2 linked regions of the Mytilus edulis genome follow. Each later gene encodes a partner of the first gene's protein in a complex. Links are inferred from orthologs where the notes say so. Each region holds a gene or a part of one and is shown on either strand. Other genes may lie near its edges.

What was found.
Region 2: N-alpha-acetyltransferase 35, NatC auxiliary subunit-like (region 1) and N-alpha-acetyltransferase 38, NatC auxiliary subunit-like share a complex: the UniProt entries of both Drosophila melanogaster proteins name them as parts of the N-terminal acetyltransferase C (NatC) complex. The link is inferred for Mytilus edulis from reciprocal best matches to the Drosophila melanogaster genes Naa35 and Sbat.

The regions. Positions count from the first base shown.
Region 1 is NC_092347.1:909,815-917,334, forward strand, and holds the start of N-alpha-acetyltransferase 35, NatC auxiliary subunit-like, read left to right. Parts: upstream 1-4,414; 5' UTR 4,415-4,702; coding exon 4,703-4,735; intron 4,736-7,119; coding exon 7,120-7,331; intron 7,332-7,520. UniProt on the Drosophila melanogaster protein: Auxillary component of the N-terminal acetyltransferase C (NatC) complex which catalyzes acetylation of N-terminal methionine residues.
Region 2 is NC_092356.1:26,199,812-26,207,368, forward strand, and holds the start of N-alpha-acetyltransferase 38, NatC auxiliary subunit-like, read left to right. Parts: upstream 1-4,503; 5' UTR 4,504-4,568; coding exon 4,569-4,586; intron 4,587-7,557. Other genes in the region: cytochrome b5 domain-containing protein 1-like, read right to left, coding at 1,498-1,728, 2,393-2,611, 2,981-3,057, 4,193-4,313. UniProt on the Drosophila melanogaster protein: Auxiliary component of the N-terminal acetyltransferase C (NatC) complex which catalyzes acetylation of N-terminal methionine residues. May have an accessory function in the survival motor neuron (SMN) complex.

The DNA.
Region 1 (7,520 bases):
ATGAATTATTAACAATAGGAAAGTAGAAGGGCACCAAGTTTTCATTGTTAGTATTATCTTTATTTAAAGTTAGTTCAGCAGGATACATCTCTTTTATGTACACGGTGTATCGTAGTAGTCTCAGACATAATGAAGTTGTGTCTTAATTCCAGCCTATTTATTTCGAGTTAAGATTAAACATATTGTATCTGAATAAACGCAAATTGGATGAGACATAAATCAAACTGATCACTTATGAAGTTTTTTTCCATAGAACATATTTAACATTACAATACCACATAAGATAATATTGACGGAATGGAAACGGGGAATGTGACGAAGAGACAAAGCGTTTTAAAATACTGAGTTCCAATTTCTCTTTGAAATAGGGGTCCTTCTTCACGGTAACAATGAGCATTGAGACAACTCTCAACAAGAGACCAAATGCCACAAAAATTCACAAGTATAAGTCACCGTACAGCCATCTACAATGAGAAAAGCCCATACGTATAGTCAGCTTAAAGGCCCTGAAATGACCCTAGGGTCGTGGTTTTTCGAGTGATTTGATCGGGCTTTTTCGAGTGTGACCACTTTTTTCGAGTGAATATGAACAAAAATGTAAACAAACAGACTTCATCTCTAACAAAACGTGATATAGACGCTTGTGTTTAATATACAAAGTTATATTATGTATAATAGTATTTGATATAGAAAGATTTTACTAACCCGACATTATTTTTCGTTAAAAAAAGTTAAAATAAGCCTTGAAATGCTTTAATTCCAAAATACAGAATTAAGCCATTTTTATACACATAACACTGATAATGTTGAAGGAAATGCATACAAGGAATCTATATATCCTAAGAAATACAGACACTTTACAAAAATTCTTTTTCTTGCATTGAAAACGACATTTTGAGACTAAATTCATTTATTTATGTTCTGGGTTTTTTCGAGAGCAGTCCGGGCTTTTTCGAGTGTGTCCATTTTTTTTCGAGTGATTATACAAATTGCCTATAGTTTAAAATGCTTTTTGTCAGTGTATTTATGATTAAAAATAATAAACAAAGTTTCAAGTTAAGTACTTTTCCAAGCATGAAGCAATGCATTTGTAACATTGATAATGGTGTTCTAACACTTCCATGTTATAAACATTCGTTCATTTGTATATATTTTGCTGTTAGTCATATTTTATAACTTTCATGTACAGTACATATTCTTGATGTCAACAATATAATGTACGCATACATAATTTGGATTGAGACGTACATACAGATGTTTGTATTCCTGATGAGCTATTCGTTTCATTGTTTATTATGTATAAAATCTAATTCAAATGTTTTTGTGTATTGGAATAAAAATCGAGCGAATTAATTGTGTCTGTGTTTTATTTTTTTTATTTTTCATTCATTTTTTTTTTATGTTGGGGTGGGGGTCAGGCCTCCATTAGCAGAATGTGTTTTATTACATAGAATGTTGATTCGTCTTTGCTGTCCAGTACTGGGGTTTCTTACTCCGTTTTTTTTTTTAATAAACAGCTGCGCCATGGTCGCATGATACACCTGTCACTTTTTCAAAGTTCATTTCTCTTATGCATGGTTGTGTTTTATTATCTATTTCTTGCATGGATAGAAAGTTCTCGTATCATCACTACACAGAGTGTGATATGAAAATACGAAATCTGCGTTAATTTGATCTGCTGGTGTCACACCTCCAATTACTCCCTCCTATGTAGATAGAACCTATGTAAAAGTAGCTCTACTCTGACATAAAATAGGGATTTAGATGTCCTTGCTTACTTAAACTAACCAACAAATTTTCAAAAATCAAACTGTTGGTGAAATAGAAATATATTTAGACCATTTTGAGCCAAAATTTACTTGTCTATAAGTATGATTGCGCTCCACGGTATACTAATTGAAGATTTCGAGAAAACCAAGGGTTATTTTAGGAGTACCTCTTTTCGAAGGTCAGTTTTTTTCTCAGAAGGCTTTAAGGGTATTGGCATGTAGAAAGATGATACATGTACATGGTGTCTAGGAAGTTAAACTTAGGGTAAGATATTCAGAAAGCTGTGAAAATTGCAAAATTTGGTAGAACAGATAGGGAATTTTAATTGGTGGTCTGACACCTTATACATCATCACAAGACGATATTACGGCATTTCCACTGGCTATTCGTCAGGTCATTGATGACCTTCAAAGGTTACGACGATGTGCAAATTGCTAGAACAACGATTCTCGGAATTTTTAGTTTTTATTTACGCTATGAGAGTGTTAACCGTATTAAAGGCTCTATTGAAATTAAATAACTCGAGTTGATAAAAAGCGATCTATCCTCACTCGTTATGACGCCTATAAATAATTTCTCAATTTCAAAAACTTAACTTTTACAACACAGGCGCTTGATAGTGGGTCTTCCAATGGATAGAAACAAGTGCCTGTGTTTTACAATAATCGTCTCGTCTGAAACTACTTGACCAAGTTCATTATAGATAGAGATAACTATAAACAGCAAGAATGTTTAGTAAAATCAGATCTACAAACAAGTCACCATCACCAAAACAGATAATTTTGCCATGAATTCTATTCTTGTCTTTAATGTTGAAGAGTGCCCCTTGTTTGACATGCACTGCAGCAAATAGACTAAGGTGAGTGGCACAGGCTCTTAAGAAACTTTATAATGTTTAATAAAATCCCATAACTCGGAAACGTAAAATCAATAATTTCTAAAAAAAAAACTGAAAGGGATGATAACTCAATAGACAATTCACCAAAGTTTCATGTAAATTGTCACAACGTTTTTGAGTTTTTGTCCGACATGCTGACGATGGACGAATGGACAACGGGGTACCATAATACGTCCCGTATAAAAATTCCATGATTCACCACGAAATTTTTATTTACTTCGACAACAAAAGTACAAAAGTGGAAAGGGATTAATATAAGATGCAATAACTTGTTTCCCAATCAACTATCAATAACTATGTTTAAACTAACAAAAGCACCATGAAATGAAGTTAAAAAGAATATGAGTCTCCTGCACTTTTTTTCTAAATACCTTTTATAAAGGATCTAATAATTTCTAATTTAATACTGGAAAGTTGTGGTACGGAACGATTTCCGAACAGAAAACTTGCATTAAATTAAAAAAGGTTAGTTTTGATCAATGTAGCATTATGTTTTTGAGAATAAATAATATTTTCATTCATTAAATTACAGGCATAAACTAGAGGTGAATACTGACATTTTTGTGCTTTGCAAAGAATATTACCATAAACGATTGGAGGTAAAATACCTGAACGTATAAGATGTCTGCATGTTGAGTTATATTTACGAACTATTTCCTTATACCGATGATAAAATTTAGTAAATGTTTTGACTAGTTTGTGATATCGAAAACCCTGGTGTAATATTTTTTCAGTAGAACAGGGATGTCCTGCTTTCCATTGTATAAAGCACCCTATATTTTTAGATTTTAGTTGTGTACAGTAAATCTTATAATGAAATATTGCCATGATAAGGCCTAAATATTTTTACCTTTTAATTGCGTAAATTATTTATCAGTCGGCTTAAATATTTTAGTTTTTATCCGTGTCCAGTAAATCTAAATTTTTAAAGTTATCAAGTTGTGGAAAACTTTTAGTGCATAGCCACTATATAAGTTTTAATTAACTTCCGTCTGGATTATACCGTTGAGGAGGTGTTCCATTATTGGAAGGATATACATATAGAAGAAGAAGAAGAAGATACGGATTCCCTGTATCTGTCCGAGATTGTATCAACTTTTACATAATCAACATGTCGACTATCGACGAGAAAAACAATTTTGATTCACCTAATTTAAATGAAGATAATTCTTGCAATGAGTAAGCAATAAACGCAAATAACACGCACGACTAATGGTTTATCATGGAAATGCTCATCTGTCCTATATAGAGCTCAAACCATAAAATGAAAAGAATAACAGGAATTCCTAAACCGGCTAAAATTTCATCATAACAAATGGACAAAAATGTCTGTAATGTATGTAAACTCAAAAACTACTCTGAGTACATACCAACCTGTGCATTTGGAAATATCAAAAAGTGGATATTTGCCCACCCAAAATAGATGCGCTGCTTCGTCGCTTCTGGTGCCGACTGACGGCCTTGGAATTATATAAATCGGGCATCAATCTGTGAAAACTGTTAAAATATGGAAAAATAAAAGTTGGCAGGTAGGTGAAACTTACATAAATTAAAAGATAAATGAAAAATGAACAGATTGATGCCCGATTTATATAATTCCAAGGCCGTCAGTCGGCACCAGAAGCGACGAAGCAGCGCATCTATTTTGGGTGGGCAAATATCCACTTTTGATATGGGACGAGCTCTGACGTCTCACGGACCCAGCTTGTCTGGCAAAACAGCCGTTGGATGTCAGAGTAATCTCGGACTAGTTACACACAAACCTAATCCCATTTCAGAATTTCTGTATAGAGATTTTCCGATAATCAACCCCCACAGAATCCCTTATCAAGGTAATTTATTCTTATTATTTTGATATCATTTTCTTCACTACCTTATTATGACTCAATGACCTTTCTCTTACTTAAGAGATGTATGCTGACTGTATTACTGAATCCTGAATCTTTTGTTTACTGACCTCCCACTTTTATTGAAGGAGACCAGAATGTAAATTTTTTATTTTTTTATTTTCAGGAAAAAACACTACATGTCTTCATGTCTTGTGACTATATACATGATATATATACAGTACGGGTAGGGACTTATTTTTATGGATGTCTTAATCCGTCTAGATGTCAGACTGGTCGGACAGTTGTCCCAGTGTAATAAACACCTGCTGTGCAATATCCAAGTGGAAGGTCGTAAATCAATCTGTACCAGCTTGATTAGAATTAAATTTTACCTGTACAGATATATAAGTATTTATGGGGGATAGATCAATGTAAAATATTGTTTTGTATTCAAAGAGAAAGAATAAAAATTAAAATTAAATATAAGAATAAAAATTAAAATTAAATATAATTTTTTTTTTTTTATAATTTGAAAATGAAATAAAGACGATTTTTAACAATATATTGTGTTGCCAATTATTTCAATAGTTTTGTGCCAATACACACCTGTCAATCATTTCTCGCAAGTGAAACATTTTGGTCAGACAGATCACTCGTGCTTTCTATTTTGACATATTTCCCGTTAATCTCTTTGAAAGTCAAACAATTGGTTTCCTTTAATACAATATTTATAACGCCGACATCATATTTCGATTCCTATTTTTTTTAATTTTATTTAAAATTGTTGACACTCGAGATAATATGCCTTTCTATTTTCATGTCTGATGGAAATGGCCGGTGTTATAAATATATTTTACAAGTTGTATCAAATCGATACACGAAAATCAAAGTTTAACCTTATATAGTTTATTGAATAAATGCACATTTATACCCCAATGGGGTTGAAGGCTTGTCGTACTAGTCATGATCAGCTGTCTTTACTTTTTCGTCGTACTTCTAGTCATTCTAAAGCTCGCGCACTCAGTATGATTTTTTAGATCGATGTTGTATTATTTCCGAAGTTTAAAGGAGGTCTCCAAATAGATTATTTAAATGGGAATCCGGGAAATAACTAATAAAAATAAAACAAAAAATAGTTAAAGAAGACTAAATCGTGTTTTGATTATACATGTATGTAAATCGATTAAATTTCTATTCTGGTAAATCGATCAAGAGCCTCAAAACTAAAGCACAATACTGTCAATCATTCCACATCAAATTTAATCATGAATGAATTTTCCCACGGTCAGTAAGGTCACCTGTGTTTACTGTTACGACATTTCCCGCCATATAAAAATCTCGTGCAGTGGACAAAATCGATCTTTAAAGTATCTTTTATTAGCATTCAATATTATTGTGAGTGGAATCAAGTTTAACTTAAAGTTCAACCACCTGCACATGCTGTTGATCACTAATATGTGTATGATGGAATTGTCTTTTCACGGCAATTTTTTCTTTTAGATTGCTATAAAAAATATAACATACAAGTTTCCTCACAAGTTTCCTTTTTTACATGGATTGTGCGTAAATTATATTATGCAACTAAGTTCGGGATTTCGGGATTAACCCTTCGGGAACTGGGAATTTTTTTTCTCGCGATGTCGGGATTTAAATTTATTTAAATTCGGGACCTTCCGACTTCGTGTTTTTAAGCCCGGGATTTCGAGATCCGGACCCCTTTTACCCCCTACCCCCAAATGCAGATCAATTATATTAATTTAGCATAATGAACAAACACGGAAATCTTAAAATAAACTTATGGCCGGGAAGAATCAATATTTTCTTCTAGTGTTATTATTTGCGTTCTATTTTAGTTATACATCTCCAACTTTCGGACAATATTTGTTTACAGTAAAAAGTAAAAACTACAAAGAATCATCAAGCTACTAATAATATACAAGTATTGCTCACTGTAATTATTTTTATCTCGGAACTGACACAACACAGAGTGAGACTGAATATTAAATAAAAATTATAGAAATATTTTGCATGTGACCGGCGGGTCCGCGTCAAACTAAAACGTATGCAGCAGCACTTGAGACAGCATTCTGCTAATCAATGGATTTACGTGGAAAATAAATCGGCAAAATAAAAATAACCGTAAGCTTCAAGAAATAGAATACATGTAAAAATATATATATTTAAAAAATTTATGCAAACAAATAAAAAAAAGATACATAAAAAAAACAAAAACGAAAAGGAACATAAAATAAAAATTATTTTTAGGAACAAAGAAAATAAATAACAGTTGAAATATCAAAACCATAATTAACAAAAATAGGCTATTTTTATTAAACAAAGTTTTCTCCAGTACTTCACCTGTAAAAATATTTTATGTCAAATACGATGTGCAACTAATATATAATCAATAAAGTGACTGAGAGGACAGGTTAAAATTACAGGTAACCTGATTCTGAAATCAGTGAACCGTAATTCTAGCAACACGGATTAAGATGAAAGGACCATTCACACCTGGATCTGTTGATTAATGACCATACTACCTACCATAAAAATGTCCGATTATTCATATCCGACTAGACGGATTAAGACATCCATAAAAATAAGTCCCTACCCGTACTGTAGCTACACTACAAAAGACAACAGACCTTTTACTTACATGACATATCACATGTTTTATTTGCATGTATAAACATTAACTTTTATACTTTAAGAAATAAACAAGAAATGACAATACAACCAGATAATAAAGCAGTTTACCATTGGAGAGATGTCACTTCAGAATTTATTGAAGCAGCAGGAGAACTAGAATTAGGAGAATTGTTACACGATGCCTCGTAAGTAACATTTATCCATTATGTATACATGTGTATTTTTAGACTTGTTTTGTAGCTTTAGTGTTATTTTTTTAACTTAAATTCTTTTTATTTTCACCAAGGTATCTTCTTTTCTGGCTTTTCTTGTAAAGTTAAAATAAGCTTGAAACTTCTTCTCAATAACTGGCAAACTGGCAGCCCTGTTGGTAT
Region 2 (7,557 bases), on another chromosome or scaffold:
AGTGGTATCCCTATTTAGAATGTGCCTTGAGGGTTTTATATGTTTTAATGGTATACACCATAGTTTCTTACTTCCTTGTACAATGTAGATAGCATGTTTACTTCAAAAAGGGATTATATGAATTATCTCCCCTTATTCTGGAGAGTTATTTCCCTTTGAAATTCTGTATAGTTATATTTGTTACTTTGTTTAGTCATTTGTGTGTTTAAACCATAGATATTTTATTAGTTGACATGTAAAACATGTTTTAGATGAAGATTTTACACACCAAATGCATTTGTTACAGTATAATACATGCTAACATGTCAATTCCTAGATGTGTTTCATGCAATATTTAAATAAATTTGTTGTCAACAATTTAAATTATTTTCTTCTGCCTTCTACCATGGATTCATGTTTATTATGAGTAATAGGATAACTTTTTATGAGATTCTTGCTTCATCAATTGTTTAAGGTTTTGAAGTCTTTTCAGGTACTATAAGCAATTGGTCATCTAGATTAGGTGCATGGAATCATTGCAAGAAGTAAATGACAGGGTTTATATGATCATGACTTCATTTTTATGGTTCCTAGTTTAGTTTTCATAGCTAGTACTCTGAGATACTACATGTAACTAAACAATAAGTCAACTCAATTCGGTGTATGGAATGATTGTGTACCTGTTTCTCAAGGTTAATCTGACGTTGACCTCATTTTCATAGTTCATTGTTCAAGTTTTCATGGTTGGTATATAATAGAAGATGTGGTATGATTGTCAATGAGACAACTATCCGCAAGAGACCAAATGACACAGAAATTAACAGTTACAGGTCACTGTAAAGCCTTCAACAATGAGCAAAGTAAATCCCAAGCCACATAGTCGGCTACAAAATGCCCCAAAAACTTAGGTCTGCTGATCTAATAAGCAATTGATTAGAAAATTTGGTGTATGAAATGATTATAAGGTGAATATGTCTGTCTGAAAGGTGTCATCAGACCTGAACCTCATTTACTAATATCATTGATTAGGTTAAATTTATATATTTCTAATAACTTTGATCTTAAGAAGTTAAGAGACTTTAATCATAAATTTAAATCATGACTAGTAAATAGATGAGTTATATCAGTGAGGCACTTTTGTTACGCTAGATGTTGATGCAGTTAAAATTAAATAAAATACAAATAATAGTTTTATTTACATGAATAAAGTATATTACAAATCTCTAAACTTCATATAATCTTTTCTCTTTTCACAGGCAGTCCTTATATTTATCATAATTACATGTAGCACTCAAATCTTGTCATATTCTTCAATTCTTTGATAAAGAGCAGATATTCATTTTTATAAATTTTGAAATTTTTTCAATTTTATAACAATCTGTTTGCTAATATTCTCCATAGAGGGAATTTTACCAAAAGTGTAAAAATTTCACAGGATTCAAAGAACTCCTTTGTTTTCACAAAAGGTAAAGAACCTTATGAAAAGTATAATAATTCAACAAATTTCTGTATACAAAGTTATGCCTCGGTTAAATCATCATTGAAATACAAATGGATTGCTTGTAAGAATGTATCATCGTTCATGCTCAGTTTATAAAATTCCTCATCTTCATCTTCGATACCATTTTCTTCTAACGTACTCCCCATCACAAGATTTCGACTGTCATATTTCCATGTATAACTTGCAGCATGTGCATTGTATTTCAGGTACCTTTCTAAAATTTCTGTCATAATCTCTTCCGAGCAAACCTGAAAAAAACCACATTGATATTATTAAGGAAAAAGGAAAAATACCCAGGAATGTTTAAAAATCAATTGTAGAGAGAAACTGACAGAGCCACATGTGGCAAATACAAAAGACAGTGAAAAGACAAAAAATTCAATGTAAAATTCATAGAAAACTGAAGACTGAGCAACATAAATTCTGACAAAAACAGGGGATAATAACAACCGAAACAAAACACTAGACTAAAGAAAGAAAAAACTAATTACATTACCCCCCCCCCCCCTAGAAATACAGATGAACTAGGGTGCACCAGAAAGTTTGGCAGTTACTGATCTAATAATGACACTATCATATAGAACTCCTAATGTGATCTGAGCATGAGTGACAAAAATACAATTAACTGTTTTACATCTCCTTTTATAGAAAAGGAAATAAAACCTTTCATCAGAATCAATTCATGTTCATCGGGCTATTCAAATTATAGCAAAGAGAAATATATATATACCATTGAATAAATAAAATAGCTACAGCATAGTTCTCTCACTTCTCTGTTCATGTGGAGTTCAAAGAGTGAGTCATCAGGAACTTTAAACTCTTTAAAAAAATCATTTTTATTTCATTTGGCTGTACAAAAACTAGTAGTTTTTGAAAAAAATATATAAAATACAAAATAAGATTAACCTTTACCTCAATAACATGGTCCTGTGATGTGAGTGTGTTGATTATTTTGACTTTTCTTGTTTTCTGTGACAGAATTCCTACAAGATAACTGTCATCTTTCCACCAAGGCCTTCCAAAGTCATTGGCCCAAAAAGAATCTGGATAAGGTGGTGGTATATGTACAAATCTGCCATTAGGACAGTATGGTATTTCACACCCTGTTTGTGGATCTACATGTGTACGGATCTGAAATGTATACATTGGTTTCAATGAAGTATTGTGGCTTCCTTATTGAATAAAAACCAATATTTCACATGTGACAAAAATTCTGTAAATTTACCCCTCCAGATCTAGACAGGGTCAGTAATTTTGCATCTAAAACAAATATGCATTATGAAAGGATTACTTTGAAATAATTGTATTAACATTTTTCATGTAAGAGACGATAAATTCTAATTTCAAGAAAATCAATATTTTCTGAGAATATGATTTTGAAGTGATTGAAAAGTTTCAACCATTATGTTTTCTATGTTTTATTGGAAATTCAATCCTGGTATCATACATGTATTTTAACATAAATTTGTACATGTATCTGGTGTAAACAAAGAAACTTACATCTTTTGTCTTAGGATTAAACCAATGTGATATATCACCACCAGCTGCTTGAATAATGGGCTTCAGTAAAACATCTCCTGTTAAAATATTAGATAGAATGATGAAAAGGTCAGAATAGGATTATATTAAGAAAGAAGTTCAATACAAATCATGATGGTCATTAAAAAGTTACCAATATTACACGGCACTAGCTAAATGTACATTTAATTTAGGTAAAGAAAATATAAACAAGTAATATGTACAATTACAAAAATATATAAACAATGATAAAACAACTAAGCCAGAACTAATATGTAAAAGCTCAAAATGCCCTCCCATGTGCCCAAGTTTAACTTGAATTTAACCCTTCCCCCTTTTTTACAGGATTCAATTGAAGCTCCATCCTAAATTTTTAGTGTTGTATATTGCAAGTTTCGTCTTTTTTTCCTTTTGGTCCTGATTTTGCATCAACAGCGAGATAAATTTGTATGTACACACCACAAATAATTGTATAAACTTCTCATTTTAAATCACAAAAACATACATGTACCATCTGGTTATCATATAAATTTAAAAGGGTACCTTCATGACCAATAAAGGTAAAAAAATTGCCAATTACATTAATAGGCAGCAATATTTGGTGCATGAGCATAAAATGTACATGTACACTTTTTTTTTTATGAAAAAAAAAATTGAGTGATTTAATAGGGTACCTTCATGACCAAAAAAGGTAAAAAAAAAAATGCCAAATTACATTAATAGGCAGCAATACTTGGTGCATGACCATAAAATGTACGCTTATAAGATAAATAAAAAGCTGCTGAACCAACGCCTCTTATGTTTTGTGCTGGTAGAGTTCCCTTATAAGATAAAAAAAAATTGAGTGATTTTGACGTATCACATTAATTTAAAAATAAACAACAACAGTAATGACAATTATTTGAGACGTCTGAGGTAACACGATAACGATATGACACCTCACACTAACCAATTGGAAGCTAACAGTAGGAGTACATGACCATTTGAGTCTGACGTGAAAGGGCATTCCTAATCCTACCCTCATTTATTATATTCATTAAAATGCGATTTTGATTAGTTAGTAAGAGGGAGATAATTAAGAAATGGTTAGCAATACGATTTCTATATTACCTTTGATGTATGAGGCTTCTGGTTTATTTATTTTGTATGTGTTGTTATCATTTTTTTTACAGTGACACTGGTTTATTTCTATACCTTTGTATTTTTCGCAAAGTGGAGTAAGATTGTACACTTTTCCAAGGAATGATACCCATAAATCGTCAACAGTGTTATGAACGGCAACTTCTTTTGGTGTAAAATACTTTGGCCGTCCCATTTTCTCTCAAAATTGATTCAGGAAACTGGGGTTGCTAACGTCAACAAGTAAACCGGAAGTTAAAGGGCTGCTTTTACAAAACGAAAAAAAAAAATTTGCCAAAGCTTTCGGTACACTGAATCATTTGTAGTTTAAAAATCATGCTGAAAATAAAATTCTTTTATAGTATTATAATTTTGATAATTTGTGAAAATTTTAAGTCACATTCTCAGAAAGAAAAACACTTTCGTTTTGTAAAAATCACTATTTTCCAAAATGGCCGGCGAAGTGATGGTAAATTTCGTCCAAATATAATTTAAACGAATCAAGCCATATTTTACAAATAAACCCACAAAAAAATTTCAATTATGTACAAAAAAATGTTCTTCTATCTACAAATTGAAATAGTTTTTCTCATATGTGTGTCTTTTACCACAAATCCGCTGAAAGTAATTAAAGTTACCAGTTCATCTCAGACCATGTCAATTTGCAATTCGTTCCAACTGATTTAGTTTATTTTTAATCAGACTAAATAATTTGTTCCACCTCTACAAAAGACTCATCAGTGATGCTCGAATCAATTTTTTTTTAAAAGGCAAAGATTTAAGAGGGCTTAAAGGGAGGGTATCTGCACAGAAGAATGCGAAATAAAATTACCATCATGATGAACGAACAATGAACAACTGCTGTTGTCTATTCTATGGTTGGGTTGTTGTCTCTTTGACACATTCCCCATTTCCATTCTCAATTTTTATTAAAAATTTCCTGCACATGGATCTGTTAACCGATATCACGAAACACAGTGAATAACAAACCTTTTTCTCGGATGCACGTGAAATAAAAATGACAAAACACGTTGTACGAAAATAACCCTCATTTAACCATATATATTTTGAAATAATATACAATAGTTAAATAAATAAAATTCAGTAAGGTCAAAACCGTTAATTGAATTAAAAAGGAATAGATTATGGGCACATTATATTTGTGTCATTTTTTTTTTACTAAATCCATGCAACAAGGTTTTATTTTATTTGTGCCTCAGAGCTGGAACGAATCATCCAGATACCTTGCCAAGTTCACTTTATATGCCTTAGGCCACAATTAAAAATAGTTTGGTTTGCCCAAACCCTACCCAAGGTTTATAAACCATATAAATATTTTTAAATAAGTTTTTGTATACATTCACAAAAATTAAAGTAATTAGGTTATTTTCATAGTTAACACTGTCCTTGAATCAGAATGATCAGTTGAAACGAACTGACCTGTTCTTGAAAAAAGTTGGAACCTATGACCAAGCAACTTGGGACAAAGTGGTTGGTACAAATCAGAGTTGGAACGAATCATCCAGATACCTTGCCAAGTTCACTTTATATGCCTTAGGCCACAATTAAAAATAGTTTGGTTTGCCCAAACCCTACCCAAGGTTGAGACAGTGGGTAGGTAGGTAGGCGTTTTCTTTTTTTTTTTCAAAAAAAGAAATTGAAGCATCGGGTGTTTATTAGTCTTCATGCCTATCTGATTAAAAAAAAACTTCTTCAAATCAGGACAATAAAAGAATTTGAGTAGGCAGCTTTTTTCTGGGCAGGTAGGGTTTGGGCAAACAAACCTATTCTTTTTTATGGCCTTATAATTATAAACTGTTATATTACATGTACATGAGGGTAGGAATCAGGGATCTCCATGGATGAAAATTGAACGATTGAGGAACTTTCACCATTACAAACCGTGTCTACGCTGTACAGTGTAGCGCGATCGGAAGTATTTTATCCCTCCATACAAGGAATGGTGAACATGCTAATTCATTGCTTATTTAAATTATATTTATTTGAATTTTCATTATAGAATTAGAAGTACTTATATTTTTTGCTGTTTTTAACCATTTAATGCCAAGTCTTCATGGTTCCCCCTTAGTCGAGAATGATAAAAAGCTGTCATGAAGGTCCCCATGTAGATTTTTTGTATTTTTGGTAATTGTTATGGGGGTTAAAAATCATATGATGTGGAGCTTATTTTTCATGGACACTGTCAAATTCAGAACCTGTTACCGGTATGTCTGATTTGCAGCAACAACAAAACGATTCGTACGGGTTATGTAAAAGGTTAAAGAGATTTGTAAAGCAAACTTTGACAAATAAAAGGTTTTTAATGACTTTATCTGGCAAATTGATTCTGTGCAACATGCATCTTTCGAGTCTGAATAGAAACCGGAAACGCGTATGTATCAATTTGATTTTATTGAACCTATATGCTGAGAGTACCATGAGAGTGCGCATGCCGGTCATAGAGGTCACTGCGTAAATAGGTCTAAAGAGGTCAAATCATGGATTTAATCCTCCGTTAAATTCGTAGAAAATATTGGATATAAAAGTTGATTTTTAATGGATATTATGATTTTCGTAATTTAAGGAATACGATCTTTAAATTGATACATAGTTTTGGATTTTATCTATTCTCGATGTGTTTTGATTGTGATGGATAACTTTGTCACGTTGTCGCCAATGTAACTTTAACATAATGGCAACGAAATGAATTCGGAATTACGATACGATATTTCTTTACAGGAAATATTTAAGTTTTTACTTTTAAACTTTAAAAGGAATTCTAAATTATCGTTACAGCAGTACTCAGAGTTATTTGCGATGAAATAATATTTAATGTTTTGCGTCTTATTTTGTACTTCTTAAAAAAGGGGGATGCTGATTGCGTAAGTCAAAATAAAGCACGTGTTCGACTTGTTAAACTTTTTTCTTTGTTACTGGATTATTAATTTATTTATTTAGGCCACACCAATTTAATTCCTTGTTCGACGGACCGCTCGCACCGATTTTTTTTTAAAACAGAATTTTTTTATTTTTTTTAAATTCCCGCTTCCCGCATCCGGAAATGTAATCGTGTCCATTTACCGCACCGTTTTTTTGTTGTAAATATTGTAAACAGATATTTGCACTTGGTTTTATAATCACAATCTAACCTGTATTTATAACGATTTTAAAGATAGAAACACACAAGTTCGCTGTGTCAATGTCTGTGATAATATTTGATTCAGCATGAAACCCTTTTATTCCAAATGGGAGTGCTCAGATATAAATATATAACAGAGGAAAATACCTGTACAGAACAAAACATTGGTTTCTTTCCCCCGTACTTATATTCCCTATCAAAATATGTTCGTTGTTAGTAATAAACTTCAAAGAACTTCAGGAAGAAATGCCTTCAACTGCAATTATATTGTATGCTGGCAATACAAAACTATCCATACCCT